7 separate regions of the Mus musculus genome follow, and all the other regions are reported to be linked to region 3. The links are microRNA targets in miRTarBase. Many come from high-throughput screens and were not tested one by one. Region 3 holds a microRNA gene; each other region holds the end of a gene's coding sequence.

Region 1 (3,081 bases), not on the chromosome of region 3:
AGCCCTGCATAAAGGAGGAGTGGTGAGGCAGGCCTGTAAGCCCAGCACTCAGGAGGTAGAAGCAGGAGGATCAGTAGTTCAAGGTCATCTTCATCTATAGTGACTTTGAGGTCAACCTAGGCATATTAAACCCTGTCTCAAAAGGGGAAGATGGGGAGAGAGATAGGAGTTTGGGGAAAAAAATGTTCAGAGAAGTTTTATTAGTGCAGTGCCTAGTATCTTGACAGTTGTTCCCAGCCAAGGAAATGGGGTGTGTTCCCAGAAAAGCCCGTGGAGTCACTTTTCCTTCTGTGAATGCCCATTAAAAACCTATGAACCATACCCTGACAGGAAGAGGGTATTTATGGGCGCTGGCGGGCTATGTGGCTGCACATATCTGTTGTTGTTCAACGGAGTTACCACAAACCTAGTATCTCTTAAAACAGCACCCATGTACTATCTGCTTCAGTGTGCCAGTTGCCTGGCATGGCCCAGGGACCTCTGCTTGGTGTTCAAAGCTGCAGCCAAGGCAGTTGGGGCTATGGTCCTTCTGAGGCTCCCCCGAGGACTGATTCTTGTCAGCTTTCTGTTGCGGTGACAAAATATCTCAGAAAACAATCTAAAGATACTAACAACTTTGGCAGTCCCTGCACATGGCCATTTGACAATTGTTTTTTGGGAGGGGGGAGCAAAGGGGACTGTCTGGTGCAAAACTGCTCTGTGCATGGCAGCCATGAGTCAAGGATTGCTGAAGGGGCCAGGCCCAGACATACCTTTGAAGGACCCCCCCACCCCCCCAAAGAACTGCTTTCTTTAAACAGGCTCCACCTCCTAAGGTTTCTACCACTTCCTCATATTTCATCAAAGTATGAGTTTGTCAACGGTTTAATCATTCATGCTCCAGCTCATCTGCTGGTTCCCTACCTCCAAACACTGATGCCCTGGGGACCAAACCTTCAAAACATTAGCCATTCGGGGACCCTTTGTACCCTGTTCTCCACTGTTAGGCTGCTGGCAGAATCCAGTTCTCTGTGGCTACCGGCAGAACTAGAGTTGTTTCCTTCTGGCTGTGTTAGCTGCTGGCTACCTTTAGGTCCAAAAGGCCACCTCTATTTCCTTGCAGTGTTGGACTCTGGTGGTTAAGTCCTCAAAGCCAGCAAGCGGCGAAGATTCAAGTTGAGATGTGAACTAGTCCAATAGGAGCTGATAACCACACACAAGACTACGCACACCACATTCATTCAGTGACTTCTTGATTGGAAGCAAGGCACAGGACCTACACACACTCAAGGAGAAGGGCTCTCTAAACTAGCAGGAAAATCTGTCATCTTACCTGGCATTGGCCGTACAGAGTGCATATCTAAAGAGAGGCGACCCTATGAATGTCCAGAGCAGTGCAAAGCCTCCCACAGGTCTTCGGTTTCACGGAGATGGATGGGAAGGTTGACTCACAGCAATGACTATGGACTTGTTCCCTTAAATTCTATCTCAGTGGCCTTGGGATCTGGGTTCATAACACGCAATCCAAATGTCTGTAGTTTCCAACATTAGCACATAGGAAACAGGTATGATGTTCCTGAAAGACCCTGGCCAGAGGCGGCTCTTGTCTTCTCAGCATGCAGCCTGTCTCTTATGGGGTCAAGAGGATGCACCTTGAGCACACCATAGTTATTCTTTCTCCTAGAGCCCACTGGGGTGTAGTATGTGTTGGTTCCCTGCCAAGAAAGAACCCTTACTGCTCTTCCCTCCCTAGAGCTGCTCCATAGAGAAGGTGTAGGACAATGGCTGCTGGGTAGAGCCAGGACTATGTTAGCTCCCCTGCCTTTCACCCGCTCTCTTAGCCTTTCCACACCACGTCGTTCACTATTCTAGCAATGCTCTGGGTTGTGACAGGGCAAGGGGTTGGGAGAATGTGAAACCTACCTATGACCCCTGAGTATCCAAGGAAGCCATTCCCAAGAACCAGCCTCTGAGATTAGGTAAATTGTCAGTTTCTCCCAACAGAGAGTGGCCCTATGTGGCCAAATGAAAATGTTAAGTGCATTTTAGAAGAGTTTTAATTTCAACAACTTATGATTAAAAATACATTTTATAAATAATTTTTTTCCATAGACTTGATTGAGGAGGGTTGTAAACTCTACAAAAAGACAGACTGCAACAGCAAAGGATTAAAGAAATTACAAAAAAATATAGCTATCGCCTCCCTAGGTAAAAATACATTATACATTACACAGCATTTCCTTTGTGCAAAAAGTTTGAGCAGGTGCTGTGTTAGGTAAGTCAAACATTTGCTGAAAGGGAAGTAAACTTTAATAAAGTTACTTTGCATAATAATAGAGGCACAGGTGAAAAAATTAATTCCCCTCCCCCAGAAGTTAATGTACCTTAGTTCAACATTTTATTTTATAGTACTGAAGGCTGAATTTGGTCTTGTACAAATGTGTGCGCATGTATGAGTGTGTGTGTGTGTGTGTGTGTGTGTGTGTGTGTATGGGTGGGTGCACTCGCATGCGCATGTGTGTATATCTGCTGTGATATTGAGTAAAAACCCCAAATATTTACAGTATTGTTAAAGGTGGTGTTCTCTCCATCTATATGTGTATATTGTCTCATTAAATAGCTCTTTAGAAAATTAAATTAAACCACCATCTTGTCAATCAGTGGATATCCTCAGTTGAGACTTCCAGTTTGCGCTGTGGGACAAAGAGGGTTCCGAAGGAGGTTTTGTTAGCACCATCGAAATCTGTGTAGGGTGAGCTGGTAGGCTTAGTTGGTCCACCCGGAGTACGGAAGAAATTTTCAGCCACCAACTGGGAGCCTTTGGGTGTCACAGGAACAGGCTGATTGGAGAGAAATGAGGGGAAAATGTATCAGAACCCTGGTAAACCATGCTCCCCAGAAGACTCAAGACCCAGCTAAATGATATCTGGATTGCTGGGAGACTAATATATCCTAGGTGGGCAAGGTGAGCCTCAGCGCATTCCTTTGAACTCTCAATTACTTTGCTAAGAAACAAAACCTTATGACAACCTAGTAATATGGATTCCTTGGCCATTCTTCTTGGGTCTGGAAGGAAGGGTTGCCCTCAGTCATTCACCCTGC
Region 2 (3,081 bases), not on the chromosome of region 3:
TCCATATGTATGATGGCTGCATAAAATATACAAGGTGACAACTGTCCTACTTAGGGGAAGCTTGGAGGGTGGCTAAATATGAGGCAAACTAAGGACAATAGTAACATCCTTTGAGGTTTATAATTACTTTGTGCCAGTTTCTTGTCTGTAAAACAAGATCCGCTAGGCCCCCCCTCTTTCTCCCTCTCCCTGTCCCTCTCCCTCTCTCTCTCTCCCTGTGTGTGTGTGTGTGTGTGTGTGTGTGTGTGTGTGTGTGTGTGTGTGTTTATGTGTGTGTAAGGTTTCTGTGAGATCAGCTATGAATGTACCTGGAAACACAACAAATTTCACTGCAAGCTTTTTGAGTGTGAATCTATCCTGTCATGTCCAAGGTGGATGGCAGGATCAGACACTTGCTCTGGGGAGGGAGACCCTGTGGAGAGGGAGCCCCTGACTATCTTCACAGCTGTTGGCAGAAAAGACTTGGATTCAGCTTTTGAGCCACAGAGGAAATGAGCACTTTTCTATTTGATCATAGGTATGGACAGAAGAGCATAGATGTCAACCCGAGTCTCTAAAATGAAACCTTGAGATGTGGATGCATTTTTCTCTTTCCATGGGGTCTTTTATTTCTGAAGAAAGGACTTTCTGGCCAATGACAAAAGAATATAAAAGACTAACAGTTTGTATATCATGCCTGCTGGTGCCACTGTCCCCTTCCTGTCCAGAGCACAGTTGGCTCACTGGGTCCATCCTGCTGTGACTCAAATTTGGCTCACCATTTAGGACCATGATGAATCTGGATGTGAGTACACTTTCCCCTCACCCTTGTTAAATCAGCCTCCCTACAGACCCCATCCCTTTTTTCTTCAGATTTCACATTTATAGACCCTTCCCACTCCACAGGGTCCAAGATCTGCTGAATAGGTCTCTTCTAAACTTTCTCCCATTCATGCAGGAAGAGCATGGAAGAGCCAAGCTCACAGCCAGCTACAAATCCCAACCCAGGCCTTCCTTAGAAATCCCTTCCTCTTTTTCTTTCACATCTGCTCGGCCAAATCTAACAGAGAAGCTCCTACAGGTCCCAGTATATGTCTTACAATGTTGGGGCTCCCTCCCTACCAATCATTTGTTAGAAAGGGGTTTTATGATACAAATTTGATAATCTCCCATGCACATTGGCACTATTCTAATTGAAGTTGTAAGCCCATAAAATTCAAGCCCTTTGTCTTCCTGAAGGCCACAAGGTTTAAAAAGATACTATTGTCCTGCCTAACACCCACTACATTGTCTCCAGGGACTGATTAAACAGAGTTCTGAATTGAAACAGTGAGGATTTTGTCTAGGTCCTTTTTAGGCCTGACAATGCCTTTTTCAGTATCCAGCACAAAAGGAGGTTTAAGGATGGAGATTCTTCTGAGATAGCCACATCCATATGGAAGACAAGGTGACAGGCAGCTGAGACCCAAATGTACCATCCACACACCCCCATTCCAGGTGACAACCTTGATGCCTTCTCCTCCTCCTCTTCCTCCTCCTCCTCTTCTTCTTTGGACAAGAAATCGAGGACCTTTACCAAGCCTAATGCTTTCTCTTCAGACCTCATCAGGGGCCTTGTCCCTGTTCCTGGACCAACTGGACACCTCTCTCCTCTCCTCTTTCTGAAATGGGTTTCCAGAGATAAGGTCACAGCTTCAGAGACAGCGACTGCCTGCCCTGGATTTCCTCCCTCACTATATACCCAGGAAAAGAACAGGGGCAAACCAAGGCCTGGAATGGAAAGGAGATCATTCCGTGTGTGCACTGCTGACTGGACTCTTACTAGCCGATCGCACCCCAGCATAGCAATCCTAGCATTACCCTCTTTCCCTAGGGTAGCCTGGAAACAGTGCCCTGGGCAGGTCATTCTGTGGCCCTTTTTATTTCTTCAATGCCCTCCCTCTCCAGTCCCACCACTGCCGGGTAGAGGAGGCAGGAAACAGCACATTGAAGCGCTCATGGCATTAACTGTATGTTCCAAGTTCCTTGCTTCCAAGCTCCTCAATCCTCAAGTCCTGGAAACAGCCTTGAGTCAGGACCCTGCTCGAGGGGCAGGATAAGCTTTCAGTCTTGGAGCCAGAGACTAAAGAATCTCCAGCTTCACTCTGCAGAGCTACCCAGATCGCCTCCGTTGCCTCTCCTACTCCCTTTCCTCCCAAAGTCTTGTTGGGACTTTATTCTGACCTACAGTATAAACCGGGGATGGGTCTCAGTGTAAATGGTCTTTCCACCTCCAGCCAAGGGAAACCAGTTTCCATCCCTTTAGTGGTAGGAGCGCCAGCGACCCAACCCTCCACAGTATAATCTAGCGCAACAAGTCAAGGGGAAAACACTCTATTTCTTTTTTAAAAATAAGTTGCTTCATACAAGTCGCTATTTTAAAATATACAAATAATGCTCAAGAAATAAAATCTTGCTCTGGGACTGGCGCCCGGGCAACCATTCCGAGTCTTGGAGACAGTCCCTTGTGTGTGTGTGTGTGTGTGTGTGTGTGTGTGTGTGTGTGTGTGTGTGTGTGTTTGCCGGTTAGGGCAATCCAGGGACCCAGGACTCAAGAAGGGCTCCTGCAAGGGTCACCTCCTGACTTTGGTGTGGCTGTAGCTCTACTGCGGCGGACCAAACAGCAATGTCCCAAGTCTAGGGTGGCTTTAGGCACTCCGCAGCAGCCTCACCAGTTCCAGGAGACCAGAGCTGGTGGTGCTAAGTGCTGGTAGGCTGGGAAGAGGCCAAGCGCCGAGCCCGGTCCGAAGGCGGTGTAGCCTGGCACCGGACACGCAGTGGCCAGGCGTGCGCTGCACTTGTCCTGGGGCACCGCAGAGGTCCCCTCACCTCTGCCGTTGTTGCTCGGTGGCCGGTCGTGAACCAGCACGGGTACCACTACGCGGCGCAGCAGGCCGGGAGCGGCGTGCAGATCAGATGATGCTGCCATATCCGAAGGCTCTGTGATCCCAGGCGCTCGCCCTCGCTTCAGCTTGTAGCGGTGGTTCTGGAACCAGATCTTGACCTGCGTGGGCGTGAGGCGCAGGAGTCGAGCCAGCTGTTCCCGCTCCGGCGCCGACAGGT
Region 3 (3,081 bases):
CTCTCCTAGGGTTCCTCCTTCCTCAAGATTTAGTTTCTATATGTGCACAGTTTAAGCAGGCACAGTCAACTGACTATGAAAGCAGAGACAACAGGAGAGAAGACGAGTCCAGGGCTGGAGACTGGATACCACTGACTTCTGCTTCTACACGTGGAGCAGATATATACAGTATCCTTGAGGCAGAAGGAGACAGACACTCTCATCCAGGGATATAGCTGACAGAGAAGAGACATCCACCCCCATACACACATCTCATCCCATCGTCTCTAACATCTGCATACTTGCACTTCACAGCTCACAAGTCTAACCTTCCCAGGTAACTGGCCCATTTGGGTCTGGTGTACCTTCAATCTCTCTTTTTTTATTTTCTTAAAAGAAACATTTGAGAGCTGAGCATCTAAGATGGCTTTGGATTCACACCCACTGTCTGTGGAACAGCTTGAGGCTGACAAGATTAGCTCGCTGGAACGCTCTGGGATCCGTTCAGCCTAAGCTGCTGCCCACACACCAGCCTTGCTCACAGAAGCTGCTTTCCGCAAGCAGCAGCCCGCTTCACCTCCTCCATCCTGGCTCGTGGAACTGGTCCTTGATGTCCTACCTGGTCTTGAGGACAGTGGCTTCCAGCCTCAACCAGTCCTCATTCCCAGATTCCAGGATGTGACCATGGTGATGTCTCAGCCTCTCCAGAGGAGTCCGAAGGGTGATACTTCTGTCCTTCCTCCTCCCATGTCTAATCACCTGATTTTACAGAACCCAGCATAGCGAGCAGTGCTGCAAGCTTCCTTCCCCTCCCTCGGCTCTCTTCTTCTGTCCCTTCTTTCTGTAATATCCAAGGGGACCAGACAGAGTGGGCCTTGATAACACACATTCCCTTGGCTCCAGAGCAGTAGCTTCTAAAACCTGTAAATAAGACAGCTCTATGCCCCTGTGTAGACATACACCCCAAGGATAGGCTGGCTCCCTGGTACCTGTCCAGAGTTGAGAGTTCAAAAGACAGACCAGTGGATAGAAATGCTATCATGCCCACCCACCCCCACCCCGCCAAGCAAGGCCTGCTGGCTCATGTACCTGGCCAGACATTACATGAGCAACGGGCAGTAATTGTTGTCTAATCTCTTCCCAGAGGTTTCAACTAGTTCCAAACTGTTGTGGCTAATAAAAACAGAGAAGATTTGCAAGAAATTCCAGGTGCATCGGAACACTTTGGGGGATTGTGCAGCCTGCAGGCAGACGAAACTTAACTCAAATAAACATAAGGTAATATGTGTTGGCAAAAGTAACCTGAAGTGGGAGTATACAACTGTACGTTTCAAATTGGCTGCTGCCTGTAAGGATGGAGATTGGTAGTAGCTCAGAATGGATGAAGTGGGCAGAGTAGCCAATGTGCATCCCAGAATAACCGAGGCAAATCAGATCTCATCTCACACAGACCCCATCAGTGGCCCAAGATGGAGCACATGACAGATTCCGCAGTCCCACTTTCTACTTTAAGGATGAGGAGACATCGTGGAGTGGCCTCCAGATTTAGGGGTCTCCTGTGAGCCAGGAATGTGTGGTCATGTTCTCAATGGAGCGAGTAAAAGAAAGTGTCTGTTTTTGTTCATTGAAGTCATTGACTCCAAGCCCTGGAAGCTGCCATGTTACCTCCATCTGCTGCCTAACTCTCAGGGCCACATTTAGATAAAGAGCCGAACTTCTGAACTGCAACAGCCCTGGACTTCAGTCAATTCCCTACTTTCTTACAGAAAAGAAAATATTGAAAAGCTGTATTATGGTGTCTTATATGAATGTGCTAGTTTCCAGGATGGGAGGGGCTGTATATTCACCTATATTCACACACATATACATGTGTGCATGTGATATACATTCATGTACACCCTCCTATAGAAATAAGTGTATGTGTGTGTGTGCATGCATATGTGTATATGTGTATGTATGTGTGTGCATATACACATGGGTGTGCATGTGCATGAGTGCATGTACGTGTATATGCATGTTCTCTATTGATATGTGTGTGTGTGTGTGTGTGTGTGTGTGTGTGTGTGCAGGTGTGTATATACATATATATGTGTGTGTGTGTGTGTGTGTGTACATGTACATGTGAGTATGTGTGTGTATATGTTTGTACATGTGCATGTGTGTGAGTATGTGAATATATGTGTATATGTGTGCATGTGCATGTGTGTGTATGGTGAGTAGGTGTTACTAATTGTGACTCCGATGGCTGTGTCTCCATCTGGCCTAGGTGACAGGTAAGCAACTGCACTGATCTTTCACAGGTAGCAGCAGCCTTATAGGGCAGGAGAAGACTGGCACCTCTGCACTGGCCGTGACCTTACCTGCAAGCCCCCGAGGAACAGGAGCTTTTTTACTCCTCCATCTTCTGGCTTCCCAAGCAGGTGCTGATATCTTGACAGGGAAGGGGAAATGCTCTGTCCTGGCCCTCTTGCCTCACAGAACTAAAAGCTAAACATGGCTTCAACTACCTCAGCGGCTTTCTTCTCCCACAACCACATGCAGTAGAGAGGCCCAGCGCTGCAGAATACATCTGTGATAGGAGAGGAGAGCTTGGATCTGGAATGTTCTAGAAAGTGATGGAATAATTTGAAATCCAAACTGTCTAAAGGCTGAAGAAGAAAGGAAGCCATTGCCACCTGCAGGAAGCAGCCAGGTCCTTTTGACCTCTCAAAGTTCTTGGCTGTGAGGTTCCATCATTCAGCTGATAAAACAGAGGAACAAATGTTACACAGGGAAGTTCACAGGAAAAGGGTCAGTACAGAGTGTGCAGAGCTTCTGGTGGTATAAAAGCCAGTCACTGAAAACTAGGGACATGTCCTCAGTCCTTGAGACCTGAAGTCATCTCTTCTCTTCTAAGCATCCATTATACCCAGGATTCCACAGCCCTAGGCCTTCTGGAAACAAACTTCATTTCCCCAAAAATTGTCTGCTACCCTAATGCCACCGGAACAAGTTTTTTAGCTCTTGGGTTATAGCTCAATGATGAAACACTTGCCCAGCATATACAAGACCCCAGATTCCACCTCCAACAACAACACAAAGCACGCCAGTACATCTCAGCCT
Region 4 (3,081 bases), not on the chromosome of region 3:
CACAAGCGTTTAAAGCCGGCTTTGTGAGCTGAGCCATGAGCACGTTGATGTTCCCTAAGAACAGGGCACAGTCAGTCTAAGCCGTGCCTTAGCCATTGAAGGCCTGGCTCTGTCCTCATCTCCTGGTGCCTTCTAGTATTTAAATCCTTAAAATACTTGATGAATCTTGCCTTGTAGTTCTTGATACAAGTGTCATCTACACAACAACCAGTCAGGAAGGATACATCCCTTATGTTTTGTTTGTTTTGTTTTGTTTTGTTTTCAGACAGGATCTCATTACATTGCCTTGGCTCATCCAGAACGCAGAAACCATCTCTCTCTGCCTCCCTGAAGCTGGGATTAAGGATGTGAGAGAGACACCACCACCAACTGTTCCTCTCCTTTGGAGATGCCAAGGGCAGGCTCTGAGTCCACTTGTCCAATGCATATGCAAATGAGTGAGTTGTAAATGTCTACTTTTCTGCCTGGTTTCTACCGGATTCCGAAGGGATTGCTTTGCACAGAGCTGACTTTATCGTAAATATGTGTATTAAAGTGGGCGAGTTTTCTCATTCTCATCACATTGACTCTAGAACGACTCCAATCCCCGGAGACTAAGGCCTGCTTGCAAGGTTGCCCCCCCCCTTTTTTTTTTTTGCTTGATTCATCAGAACACAAGCAAGAGAATGCATCCTAGCTCAAGAAGGGAGGCTGTTCTGAGCAGCTGCAGAAAGAGGTTGGAGGCTGGGCTGCTCAATTTAACCAAAATGCCTAGTCAGCAGAATAACTCTGTTTCCATTCCTCTCGAGCCAAGGGCCCAAGAGCTCTCTCTGATTCACCCAGCTTTTCTCAAGCAGAGCACTCATTAACTAGATCGCTGAAAATCACTTCCTCCTGTGTCTTCTCTGGCTAATTCTAACAGTGTTCGAGAAATAAATATCTCAAGGAGAAGCAGCAGCCCGTGCGTGAGCCTTGAAGACACCCCCTCTTACATTCTTTGCTTCTGTTCCTCCCTGACTCCAAACTTCTCTTAAATAGAGGTTAAGTTGTAAGATGTGTATTAACACAGTCACCAAAAAGAAAAAAACAGTGAAAACTCGTGAACTGACAGGCATGGGGACATCTGTCTGAACCCTGGTGCAGGCGCTAACCTCAGAGGCAAGAGCCAAAGTGTGAAGCCCTTTCCAGAGGCAGCAGGAACACCTTCAGGAAGCTCAGTAGCCTCAGGTCGGCAAGGTAAGCAACAGCCTTTTCTCCTCCGGTTCTTTTTCCTGGGAGAATGAGAGGCTCAGCAACCATTCTTCCCTTTGATGAAAGCCAAACTAGGATGACAAGAGTAACTCCCAGGGCTGTGACCCCTGTCCTGATAGTTTTAGCACGTGAAACAAAACAAGACAGAACCCCACGCAGCACGAACCACCATCACATTGCTCGAGGTCAACAACAACAACAAGTCACTGTCCCTTTCCGTCTCTGTAGGGGAAGGGAATTTCCTCCCAGGGATTCAGACCTAGATATACAAATCCACAACTGTCTACATCCCAGGAATACCAAGGAAAACTTTGTACACAACTCAAGCCATTGTTACACCATCCCACTACGACTCCCTGTACCACTCAGAATACGTTTAAACAAAACCAAAACTCATACCGTCCCCACTACCCTTATCCCTAGAACACAGTTCCTAGAAAACCTAACTTGTACATTTCGCACTGAGCATGCTGTCTTCAAAGACCCTGCACACGTACACACACGGACACAAAAACACAGACAAGAGAAAGCTCTGTTCAAGGGGATAGTTTTTCCTTCTGTGTGGGCCTTGATTACTTGGGTAACAAAGTTCACTCTTTAGCTCTGTAACCTGATCTCTCAGCTGTGTGTGTGTGTGTGTGTGTGTGTGTAGCATGTGTGCATGTGTGTGCATATGCATCCATGTGGTTGTGTGTGGTATGTGCATGTTGAACGTGTGTGTGTGTGTGTGTGTGTGTGTGTGTGTGTACAGGATGAGGGACTATGAACTGGGAGTGAAAGCTCACTCTATACTTTTCAGAGGGAGGAGTGAGAGGCATGTGATCACAGGGGAAGAGAGAAGAGGAAGAGAGGAGGCAGACCCACATGAGAGTGTCTGGCCCCTTGCTCTCAAGCTCCGAATGCCTGATCACCATCTCTTTCCTGTTTCTTCCTTTCATCTTAGCCCAGTACTTCATGGAGTCACCCATTCTGTAGAATTTGATGTAGATCTTGGAGCCAAACAAATTTAGGAAACATTACATGAATAGAAATTGACTGTGGGGGTTCTCAGAGCCCTTGATATACTAACAGCCGCTTTCACTTTCTCTCTGTGTAGAGTAAATACTTGGGAACTGGTACCACATGGACCCCAACCAGTGAGAATGGACCTCAGCTATCACTGCTGGTTCCCTTGAGAGTAGGTTCAGCATGAATAGCCTCACACATACATACTTTGCACCATTTCCCACAATTTTGCCCAGAGAACTCTGTTTTCCCACGTTGTCTCACAGAAATGGTGAGAAATACTCTGGCCCTCAGGGTACAGGAGAGGGCCAGCTCTGGCAGTGGCTGCTGGTAGCACCGGCTGACAGATATGACCATGGCTACAGAAGAGACAGATTTCAAAAGGCAGCTGTCCTTCTGTCCCAGCTGCTCCCAGGACTCTGTCCCTGGTGGGTCAGCAGGTGCCTATCTAGGTGGTGCTTGCGGCCAAAGCTCTTCTCACAGCGAGGGCAATGGAAGGGCTTCTCCCCGGTGTGGGTCAGCCAGTGTCTCACCAGGTGGTGCCTCCGGCCAAAGCTCTTCCCACATTCAGTGCACACATGGCACTTTGGCACGGGAGGCACGCAGTGCTGAGCCGCAGGACTCTCTCCAAAGTCTTGGCCCTTGCAGGACTTGCTGTCTGCGTGCACTCTCTGGTGGCTGGCCAGGTGCGAGCTGCATCGGAAACTCTTGCCGCACTCAGAGCACCTGCTTGGCTTGTCATGCAGATGGGTTTTCTGGTGCCTGATCAGGTGGTGCCTTCGCCCAAAGCTTTTCTCACACTTGAGGCAGCTGTAGGGCCTCTCTCCAGTGTGGGTTTGCTGATGT
Region 5 (3,081 bases), not on the chromosome of region 3:
CCACGGTAGATCTTGTCTCAAAAAGGGGGAAGAGGACCACAGTATTTAAGGATGTATATGTGAGCAGGAAAACCAAGCAGAAATGAAGACATGGTAAGGGGATGGGGTAAAGACTGGGGAGAAGTGCACGGGTACTTCTGGCTGGTTGAGAATGTTGTATTTCTTGACCTGGTCATCGCATGAGTACTATTTTAACCTGTATGCACTTTTCTGTGTCTATGCCTTAGATACTTCATATGCCTTCTGTATATTTTACAAAAAGAAAATGTACAGATGACCAGTAAAAATGAAAAGACAGCGAATGTTCTGCCCACACCTACAATTCCAGCACCTTATTGGGGAGACCAAAGGTTACCACAGGTTCAAGGCTAGCCTGATCCACATAGGGAGTTCCCAGACTCTGAGGTTGCAAGAGTGAGACCCTGTCTCAAAAAACAAACAAACAATAAAAAGACATTCATTCAAGCCCATTAGCAATTAGAAAAATAAAAACTGCAACAGTGACCTCTGTTTATGATCTGCCTGTGAACCGGGCAATCTTAACTTGCCCATGGGGCAGGAGATTGAGACCTCTGTGAACAGCAATGTGGCGAGATGTATACAAAATAAAAAACCCGTCTATTTTATGAATTAGTCCCTAACAAATACTAATATACAATAACATATCATGACACACACACAGAGATATTCTCCTCTAACTACAGTGTTGTTAATAATAATGAAATGACTATTTTAAAAAGGCTTCATAATCCATACAGTGAAATAATACACAGCTACTAGAAACAGGATACACTTTCTATAAACTGATGTGGAAAGAGCTCAGGGACATACTAAGAAAACCAAGTCACGGAATCACACATACATTGCATAGCCCTGGTTCTAAATATATAAATATGTACATATGGAGATGTATGGAAAACAGATCACAAATTTATGCTCTAACCTCTCAGCAAAGGATGACAGGAATGCTGGTTGAAGAGGAGGTAGCGAGGGCACTTTGTCATCGTCTTACACACACACACACACACACACACACAGACACACACACACAGACACACATGTAATTTCATGTCCTTGAACTACTTGTATAATTTTAACAAGCATAGCAAGAACAATTAATTATGCTGTGTGTTCAGTTCTAATGGGACTAATCCAACACATTTAGAAATAGCCAGCTTTCAAATATCTTTTGTTCTTAGGGTTTCAAGAAAGCTCAGAGTTGCAGATACAGGGTTGTCAGCCACCAACTGGTGAGCACTGTGAGGGGCACTTGGTGACTTGGGCCATCTCCAGGTTCACCTCTAATGATATCTGCATATATCCTCACAGCCATGGCCACAGCCGTGCTTTCCCAGAGCTATTCGCTAAAGTTAGTAAGTCCTGATGTTGCCAGCTATCAAGTAACAGCCACAGTAAATGTGGCTGTAGGTCAGAAGCAATTGTTAAAGAGTAAATATGGGCATGTGTGTGTGTGTGCACACACACACGAGAGAGAGAGAGAGAGAGAGAGAGACCTTCTGAGGAAGTCATCTCCATCTGAACTCCTAGCAAGGACCCAGGCTCACAAAATCACCATGTAGGAACCTCCCCGCTTCCCTCCCTCACTCCACCCGAGTTCCTTCTGTAACAAAATATGCATCCCCTAGGAGCAGGCGAGTGCAGACAAAAAAGCCCCGAGAGGAGACCTAGGAAGGAAACCAACTCCATGCAGACATTTTGGTGTGCTTTTATTTTTGATTCGTATCATACTTTACGAAGGGAAACTTCCAAACTTTACTCTTGCAACATCCTGACCTTGACCTTGCTGCATAGGAGAAAAGCAGAACTAAGCGAGCCTTGCTGGAGCCCATCCCGTTCGTGTGTGTGTGTGTGTGTGTGTGTGTGTGTGTGTGTGTGTGTGTGTGTGTGCGCGCGCGCATGAGGAGCTGCTTCCAGCTGACAGGAGGATTACACTCAGCTACAAACGACTGGAAACACAGCAGCCCGTGAGTCACCGGCTCATCCTCTGGCATCCACGGGCAAGCACCCTTCCCACGCGTTTCTTATTTAATGTGGTGAGCATTAAGTTTCGCTCTGCCTTGTATCAGCAAATACCTTCCTAGTCGCGAATGGAAAACAAACTGAAACTGGATACATTCAAACATGGCTGCTTGATTTCCATAAGTCATCAGGAGGAGAATGAATTTAACTTTAGTACATTTATTCTTACATGATTCATAATAAAACACTTTCAAAACCTTCTGTACAGTTCAAGCCACTCAGAACAGCGTTTCATGTTTATAAACGTGATTTGTTGGGATGAGGTGCCGAGGTGTCTCTGTACAAAGATGTACAATATGTACAGTCACTGTAGGTACAAGCTGTGCGAAGCAGAGTCTAGAACACGTAATTCATGCCAAGGCTCAGAAAACATTTCAACACGTAAAGACTAAAGCTTGAAACTGCACTGCGGCTCTCCCTGGGCGTATGATCACTTTATAAACAATACATGTATAGGTCGTATAGAAAGTGGTTGACCCCAGCGCTGACAGTACCATGCAGCTGACTGGACACGGTACCGCCCGTTCTCCTGGGCCTCGGTCTGTACTTGCTATGTCATTGGGCTGCTGCTGCCGCCTTGGGCTGAGCCACAGCTACGCTAGGAGACTTAAACTTGGGGAGGTAAAGGCCAAACTTGTTTTCAATGCCAGCGAAAGTGGCCGTGGCAAGTCTGTAGCCACCGATGTGATCGGGGTTGGCAGGAGGGAGGTCTGCGATGCGGGACTTTGGCGTTGGTTCTGAGCCAGAAGGTTTGCTGTGAACAGGAAAAAGCAGACCGTTAGGGATCTCAGGGCTTACACTTTGAGCGGGGTCTGTGACAGCCACACCCCATGGAGAAGGCTCTCTCAGCTCTCTCCATGTCTCCTGCATCAATCATGATATCCAGCGTCACCACAGCATTGCTTTCACATACGTCATAGAGAAGACAAACGGCCCCACCCCCACTGCTTATGAGCAGACTTGAGGGCAGAAAAATAAACGGAAGAGAAAATGCACTCCATTAGTAATAGTCTTTGGGAAGCTGGCTATTTGTAGATTTTT
Region 6 (3,081 bases), not on the chromosome of region 3:
CCAGCCCACCCCATTCCGGGAGAGGGGTGTCTTCCGATGATTTAGAGGGAGATGTCACTGGGGTTTTGTTGTTGTTGTTTGTTTGTTTTTGAGACAAGATATCTCTACATATCTCTGGCTGTTCTTGAACTCACTATGTAGACCAGAGGGCCTCAAACTCAAAAGATTCGCCTGCCTTGGCCTCCCACGTGCTCTAGATCTCATGTCTCTCATATGAGGTTTTAGGAGTTCACGGTCTCTTGCGCCCCCTGGTGTTCATTCAGTTCTTCAGGCTTTCTGGCACTACAGCAACATGCTTATGATTGTCTTCAGTGGCCAACTGGTATTTAATTTATGCTGAATTATATGCCTAAGGTTTTTGCTCAGGTGCCAGGCATGTACATTCTGTTTCTTGAGACAGGGTCACTCCATGTATCCCTGGTTGTCCTGGATCTTGATATATAGATCAGGCTGGTCTTGAACCCAGAGATCTACCTGACTCTGCCTCTCAAATGCTGGGATTAAATGTGTAGCATATGCTGGGCTACAAGTCTTAAGGTAAAGTTAAGCCTGGTCACACAATTCAAGAAAAGAAATGGGAGGGAAAAGAAAAAGGAAAAAAGGAGAGGAAAGAGAGAAGGGAAGGAAGAGATGTATACAAGTGCTTTGCAAACTGTAAAACACTCTCCATACGCAAGGGAGTCATTTGAGCAGTCTCCTACAGTTTCCATTTATTATGTTACATTTCCTTATTGTGTGTGTGTCCACATGTGCCACAGTATGCATGAGGTCAGAGGGAAACTTATGGGAATCATCTCTCTCCTTCTAACATGTGGGTCCTAGGAATCAAACTCAGGCCGTCAGGCTTGGCAGCAAGCCCCTTTATCCACTGAACCATCTTGCCATCCCAGTCTTCTATAGTTTAAATCAAATTCCTGAGCACTGGGCAGCAGATTCCATTTGCAGTCATGGCATCAATGGCCTCCGTGATCTTGGACAAGCCACTGTCTCCAGCAGCCTGTTTCCATATCTGTGAAGTGTGGATCCACTTTTACCTCTCAAGGTACCTGCGAGAGTTCACGCATATCAAGTTCCTGGTGTATCCTACTCAGGCTGAGTGGCAGGGTCAAGCCACGGGCCATACCCTTGTTAACTCTGGTACCAGAATAACATTCTGGTAACTGGGCACAACTGAAGAGCACTCCTTACGCAGGGAGGCAGGACCCCAGGTTGACGGAAGAGGTAAGAAAGGAAAGCTGGGTGAACGATAAATTTCCAAGTGAGAAACTGACTGGTGAAGCCAGGCCTAAATGAGGACAGGAAACCTTACTGTCCGAGCCCTAGGGACGAATCTACTGCTATTAATGAAACGTTATCATCCGGTTTTAAGAATTTTTATATCACCCCACCCCCAACCCCCTACTCCCTGTCATTGCCATTTCCCCTAGTCACAAGAGGGTTCAACTAATAGTCTCCAGTTTGAAAGGTTCTGATTGTGATGTGACTTCCAAGAGCAAAGAGGTCAAGGCTGTTATCAAGAGGCCACACATAGCACCCACCTCTAGGCCAGCTTCCTTCAGAGGCCAGCAAAGTATATGCAGAAAGCATCGGATGAGCTGAAGAAGCCAGGTCTACACTGGTCCCACCGCACCCCACTGCTTGACTTTCATCTTCTGCCCTGGAGGGTTTCTGTGGCAACCGAATGAGATAAAGAATGGCGTGTACACCCAGCAGCCTACCGTGTGGATGTTCATTCAGGTGACCATTTCCCTCCCCCTCCTCTTCAAAGGCTCCAGAGGCTCGGCCCCGCTGTCCTTCACATCTCAGAGGAACCACCACCTTCTCAGAATTCAACTCCACGCCTTTGCAGAATGGCTGCCCTGGAATACTCTCCCCGGTGCCCCACATCCCCAAATAAGTACACAGGTTCTTTTCACTGAAGTGTTTTACTGGTGACCACTGAGGAGACAGACACAAGTCGGGGTAAGAAAACCAGGTAACAAGCATGGGAGGGTGAGGGTCCCTGGATTGTGGATCCCTGAGGCTTCCTTCTCAGACTGAAGAGGCCGGTCACCAGGAGGGCCATGCCCCCCCCCCCTCCCCAGCCTGAGGCTCTAGAGGCTGACACAGGATGAGGCACAGCAGGTAGGAACTCACAGGCTACTGCCGTGTGTGTGTGTGTGTGTGTGTGTGTGTGTGTGTGTGTGTGTGTGTGAAGCTAGACAACTTTGGAGGACCTGTAGACAACGACACCGTCTCAGGCACTACCCCCAAAGCCTGGGGACTGATGACTGATGACCCAGTCACAAGAGCATGTCCTGAGCCCATCCCATTTCCCCCACAGCTGAGGAAATGAAGAGTGGGCACTCTGAATTTCCAAGGCAAAAAAAAAAAAAAAAAAAAAAAAAACCTGCTGGGAAGAGGCAGGGTGTTTACTCAGCCCCTTCTCAGGATTTCCTGACTGCAAAGGCAAGAAGGGGCTGTTCCGCAAAGTGAAGGGTTTGTAGTCTTGGAGGCCACAGCAGGTACTAAAGGCCTCCTCCACCCATCAAGGTGGGCTCTATGCTCTCCCTCACTCTCCAAGCAGGCCTCTCCTTTAGCTAAAATCCTTCTCATCTTGCTCGCCCAAGTGTGTTTTCTGGTGTCGGATGAGGTTGGAGCTCCGGGAGAAGTGTTTCCCACACAGGGTGCACCTGTACGGCTTCTCCCCTCTGTGCGTTCTCTGGTGTGCACCAAAGTTGGAGATATCACTGAAAGTCCGCCCGCATTCAGTGCACTCGTAAGGCCTCTCACCCGTGTGGGTACGGTGGTGCACCCCAAAGCTGGAGCTGTTGCTAAAGCTCTTCCCACACTCACAGCAGATGTAAGGGGCTGGCTCCAGGTGGGTCCGGTGATGTACAGCCAGCGTGGAGCTCTGAGTGAAGCTCTTGCCACAAATGTCACAGCGGTAGGGCCGCTGGCCCAGGTGATCTTGCTGGTGCGTGGTGAGGTCCGAGCGCCGCCGGAAGCTCTCCTGACACTTGGCGCATTGGTAGTGCTTCTCTTCCAGGTGGATGCGCTCGTGCCGGATGCGGTTGGAGCTCCGGGAGAAACTCTTGCCAC
Region 7 (3,077 bases), not on the chromosome of region 3:
TTCCCATGAGAACATACACCCCTCAAATGAACATTTGCACTTAGCCTTGTACAAAAGACTATGGTTTGGGTCTAGGGTCTAGATTGTATTCATTTTCTCTGCCAGTTAAATAACTAAAACAGGAGAAATCCACAGCATTACAGGCAGCAGTGTTATGGGGATGTCCATGAGAGAGGACTCCTAGGACATGGGTTTAAACCAATAGAATATCTCTATTAGCCAGCAGGCAGTAGTGCTTGGTGTTAGGGATCCCAGGGTTGCACCAAACCTTTCTCAGGGTGAGTTTTTTTAAAAAGATTTATTTATTAATTTTATTTATGTGAATACACTGTAGCTGTCTTCAGACACACCAGAAGAGGGCATCAGATCTTATTACAGATGGTTGTGAGCCACCATGTGGTTGCTGGGAATTGAACTCAGGAAGTCTGGAAGAGCAGTCAGTGCTCTTAACCGCTGAGCCATCTCTCTAGCCCTCAGGGTGAGTTTTAAATACCAAAGCCATATTCTAGGTTGACATACTTCAAATGGTAAGAACAGTTAGCCAGAAGCAGAAGTACAATAGCCAAAAATCCTGGTTAGTACTGAAAGATCCTGACAGAATATAAAAGGTCACAGAAACCCTGAAATTGGCAAGATAGATTTCATTGCTAGCAGAACTAGCTTCACTGACTTAGAAAAATAGAGGTGCACAATGCTCTGGCCACTCCTTGAACCCGTGTGTCTGCCAATGTTTTTGACCGTTCCTTGAACCCATGTGTGTGCCCACTGATGAAGCCCATTGCCAGGTGTTTGTGATATTGGCTGCTGGGAAAGAGTCAGAGAATCTCCCCAGCAACCACAGCCAGGTCAATCCGGAGTTGCTACACCTGCACCAGACTCTTTCCTTGTACCCCTCCCATACCCATTTCTTGAGAATAGACATTGTTTAGATCTGGAAATCCCCTACAACCCCCTACTCCTTTCCCCCCTGAGGGCCTATAAAAACTGGGACCTCTTTCCCCTTGAGGTTGACTCCTCTACCCCTGCGTGGGATATGAGTCGTCCCCAGAGCTCTGGCTTTCCCCAAATAAAGCCTCATGTGGTTTGCATCAAGCTTGGTCTCTCGTGAGTTCTTGGGTGTCCGATATTGTCCCAAGGACTGAGCGAGGGGCTCCTCTCGGAGTCTTTCAGTATATTTAGGGACCTTCTCAGAACTATGGACTTTGATGGATTTTGCTTTTGTTTTATTTATGGTAAATGGTACTGTCTATGTGCTCAGTTTTTTGGTTTTTTTTTTTTTTTTTTGATTCAGTTAAGTTCTGTTCCACTAGTAGCTGGAAAAGAAGGGGGAGAAACAGAAGTGACCTGGAACAATACGTCTCAGGACAGCCAGCCACCTCCATCTTGATGAGGGAGATTAGTCAGAGGACAAGATGGCTGCCATCCACATGTCTGTCGCCTTTCATCTTTGTGAGGTCAATGTGCAACCGAGTGACAGAACAAGGAAGTAGACATGCAGACAACAGACATGCAGGTGCACTACCTCCCTTCTGTTTTTGGATAAGAGACACACAATTTTTATTATTTACAGTAAGCCTTAAACAGCACTCTGACAGCTGGGCAGATATCTACCTTCTATGTAATTAGAATTTCCTTTTTTCTTTTCTTTTATTTTTTTTAATTCTCAGGACCTGCATGGTAGCTTCTCCTAGGTTCTGGTGCCCTCTTCTGGCATGCAGTCATATAAGGCAGCAGATAGAGCACGCACACACACACACACATTTACATTGAAAACTAATAGTAATAATAAATAAGTAATAATAAGAAAAAAAGATCCTAGCTTCGGCCGGGCTGTGTGGGTGGCAGAGGCAGGCAGGCAGGCAGAGAGGACCTCTGTGAGTTTGAGGCTACCCAGGCCTACACTGAAAGTTCCAGGCAGGGATGCCGGGGCTACACCAAGAGAAACCCTATCTGGGGCAAAAGAAAACAAAAGCAGAAAATGTTCTGGCTTTTATTTTACAGACATATGATTCTTCTAGTACTACTGACTATCGAACTTTGATCATGAAGGCACGTTGGATTTTATGACAGTTTGTGTCTGTGTGTGTGTGTGTGTGTGTGTGTGTGTGTGTGTGTGTGCTGGCTGTTAAGGTAAAATATTAAGGGTTAGGGTTTGTTAAGAACTGAGCAAACTATTACGGTGGGGATATGCACGCTGTCCCTGCCATCCCTGGAACTGAGGCAGGAGGATGGCCACGAGTACTGATTTTTTTGGGATGGGCGGCCTTGATTGACAGTGGCAGGCTTCCCAGTCACCTGTGCTTCCTGTCGGGGTGGGCGGGGCTATAGAGGAGGATTTGGTTGGACTGTGATATCACGGTGACATCAATGTCGTTAAACATGCCCTTCCAGGGTGATTGACAGGATGAGACTGGACACGCCCACTTTGGTGATTGATGAACAGGGCAACAGGGGTCCAGTCACACCAGACGTGGGGGTGGGGAGCGGTCACGATGACGTCTATCAGCATCGCTTCATGACATCAGTTGATGTCATGAAGTTTAAGTCCTTCCTGTCAGTCACGTTGGGGGCGGGACGTCTAGGGCTGCAGGAGGTCCTTCCTGAGGGTCTGGGGGGGGGGGGTGGACGGGGGTCAGAGGTCACGCCTTGGGTTACAGGGGACAAGCCTCGCGCCCCACCCCCACCACGAGCGCTTGTGACTTTTGACCTCAGGGTTCACTCGCACGTCGTCGGACACCTTGTCCCTGATCCCTGGGATGGGCGGGAAGAGTCGGCGCGTCACCTCGAACCTGAGGGAGAGGGCAGGGCAGGGCAGGGCAGAGTTCACAGTGGCCATCCCCCTGCCTCACTCTCTCCATCCCGGCCATCCCCCTGCCTCAGCCCCCGCCGTCGCCCCACCTCCTGCACGTCACTCCGAGCGCCAGCGCGCACAGTAGGACTGCGCAGGCTGTCACTGCATACAGGAGCGCACCGGGCACTCGCGTGTCCTCAGCCTCTGTGGGGTGGGAGGGAGAGGTCAGGGGACCGGAAGTAGCGCGTTCGCAGTGGACGCGGAGGGCGGGTCTCCCGGGGAGTGG

What was found. Region 3 holds the annotated microRNA mmu-miR-466i-5p (UGUGUGUGUGUGUGUGUGUG, at 2,068-2,087, shown strand). A microRNA usually pairs through its seed, bases 2 to 8, with sites in the 3' UTR of a target mRNA and lowers its output. Matches are read on the target gene's strand: a 7mer-m8 pairs with bases 2 to 8, a 7mer-A1 pairs with bases 2 to 7 and ends in A, and an 8mer does both.
Region 1: miRTarBase lists E2f8 as a target of mmu-miR-466i-5p. Seed matches in the 3' UTR shown: 7mer-A1 at 2,495-2,501, 7mer-A1 at 2,463-2,469, 8mer at 2,461-2,468, 8mer at 2,459-2,466, 8mer at 2,457-2,464, 8mer at 2,455-2,462 and 10 more.
Region 2: miRTarBase lists Nkx2-9 as a target of mmu-miR-466i-5p. Seed matches in the 3' UTR shown: 7mer-A1 at 2,531-2,537, 8mer at 2,529-2,536, 8mer at 2,527-2,534, 8mer at 2,525-2,532, 8mer at 2,523-2,530, 8mer at 2,521-2,528 and 18 more.
Region 4: miRTarBase lists Zfp641 as a target of mmu-miR-466i-5p. Seed matches in the 3' UTR shown: 7mer-A1 at 1,971-1,977, 8mer at 1,969-1,976, 8mer at 1,967-1,974, 8mer at 1,965-1,972, 8mer at 1,963-1,970, 8mer at 1,961-1,968 and 22 more.
Region 5: the mRNA of Slc25a12 is a reported target of mmu-miR-466i-5p. Seed matches in the 3' UTR shown: 8mer at 1,901-1,908, 8mer at 1,899-1,906, 8mer at 1,897-1,904, 8mer at 1,895-1,902, 8mer at 1,893-1,900, 8mer at 1,891-1,898 and 17 more.
Region 6: the mRNA of Zfp691 is a reported target of mmu-miR-466i-5p. Seed matches in the 3' UTR shown: 8mer at 2,187-2,194, 8mer at 2,185-2,192, 8mer at 2,183-2,190, 8mer at 2,181-2,188, 8mer at 2,179-2,186, 8mer at 2,177-2,184 and 15 more.
Region 7: miRTarBase lists Csf2ra as a target of mmu-miR-466i-5p. Seed matches in the 3' UTR shown: 8mer at 2,111-2,118, 8mer at 2,109-2,116, 8mer at 2,107-2,114, 8mer at 2,105-2,112, 8mer at 2,103-2,110, 8mer at 2,101-2,108 and 11 more.

What each region holds. Positions count from the first base shown.
Region 1 is chr7:48,864,411-48,867,491 of GRCm38, forward strand. It overlaps E2f8 (E2F transcription factor 8), which reads right to left. Exons shown (of 13, transcript NM_001013368.5): 13 at 2,019-2,819. The coding sequence ends at 2,637. Among named protein-coding and RNA genes, the nearest start is that of E2f8, 15 kb to the right of the region's middle.
Region 2 is chr12:56,609,034-56,612,114 of GRCm38, forward strand. It overlaps Nkx2-9 (NK2 homeobox 9), which reads right to left. Exons shown (of 2, transcript NM_008701.2): 2 at 2,360-3,081. The coding sequence ends at 2,687. The region is part of intron 3 of Gm26973 (a long non-coding RNA gene); the gene reads left to right. Among named protein-coding and RNA genes, the nearest start is that of Nkx2-9, 2.7 kb to the right of the region's middle.
Region 3 is chr3:85,465,315-85,468,395 of GRCm38, forward strand. Mir466k (microRNA 466k) reads left to right here and starts at 2,063; the gene lies at 2,063-2,184. The region is part of intron 1 of Gm31419 (a long non-coding RNA gene); the gene reads right to left.
Region 4 is chr15:98,285,860-98,288,940 of GRCm38, forward strand. Zfp641 (zinc finger protein 641) reads right to left here. Exons shown (of 6, transcript NM_173769.4): 6 at 263-3,081. The coding sequence ends at 2,613. Gm33967 (a long non-coding RNA gene) reads left to right here. Exons shown (of 4, transcript XR_001781762.2): 3 at 266-1,215. Among named protein-coding and RNA genes, the nearest start is that of Zfp641, 8.8 kb to the right of the region's middle.
Region 5 is chr2:71,272,560-71,275,640 of GRCm38, forward strand. It overlaps Slc25a12 (solute carrier family 25 (mitochondrial carrier, Aralar), member 12), which reads right to left. Exons shown (of 18, transcript NM_172436.4): 18 at 1,711-2,794. The coding sequence ends at 2,596. Among named protein-coding and RNA genes, the nearest start is that of Dync1i2, 62 kb to the left of the region's middle.
Region 6 is chr4:119,167,607-119,170,687 of GRCm38, forward strand. It overlaps Zfp691 (zinc finger protein 691), which reads right to left. Exons shown (of 2, transcript NM_001145936.1): 2 at 1,910-3,081. The coding sequence ends at 2,576. Among named protein-coding and RNA genes, the nearest start is that of Zfp691, 5.0 kb to the right of the region's middle.
Region 7 is chr19:61,222,426-61,225,502 of GRCm38, forward strand. It overlaps Csf2ra (colony stimulating factor 2 receptor, alpha, low-affinity (granulocyte-macrophage)), which reads right to left. Exons shown (of 12, transcript NM_009970.2): 10 at 2,899-2,995; 11 at 2,708-2,789; 12 at 1,977-2,608. The coding sequence ends at 2,579. Among named protein-coding and RNA genes, the nearest start is that of Csf2ra, 4.5 kb to the right of the region's middle.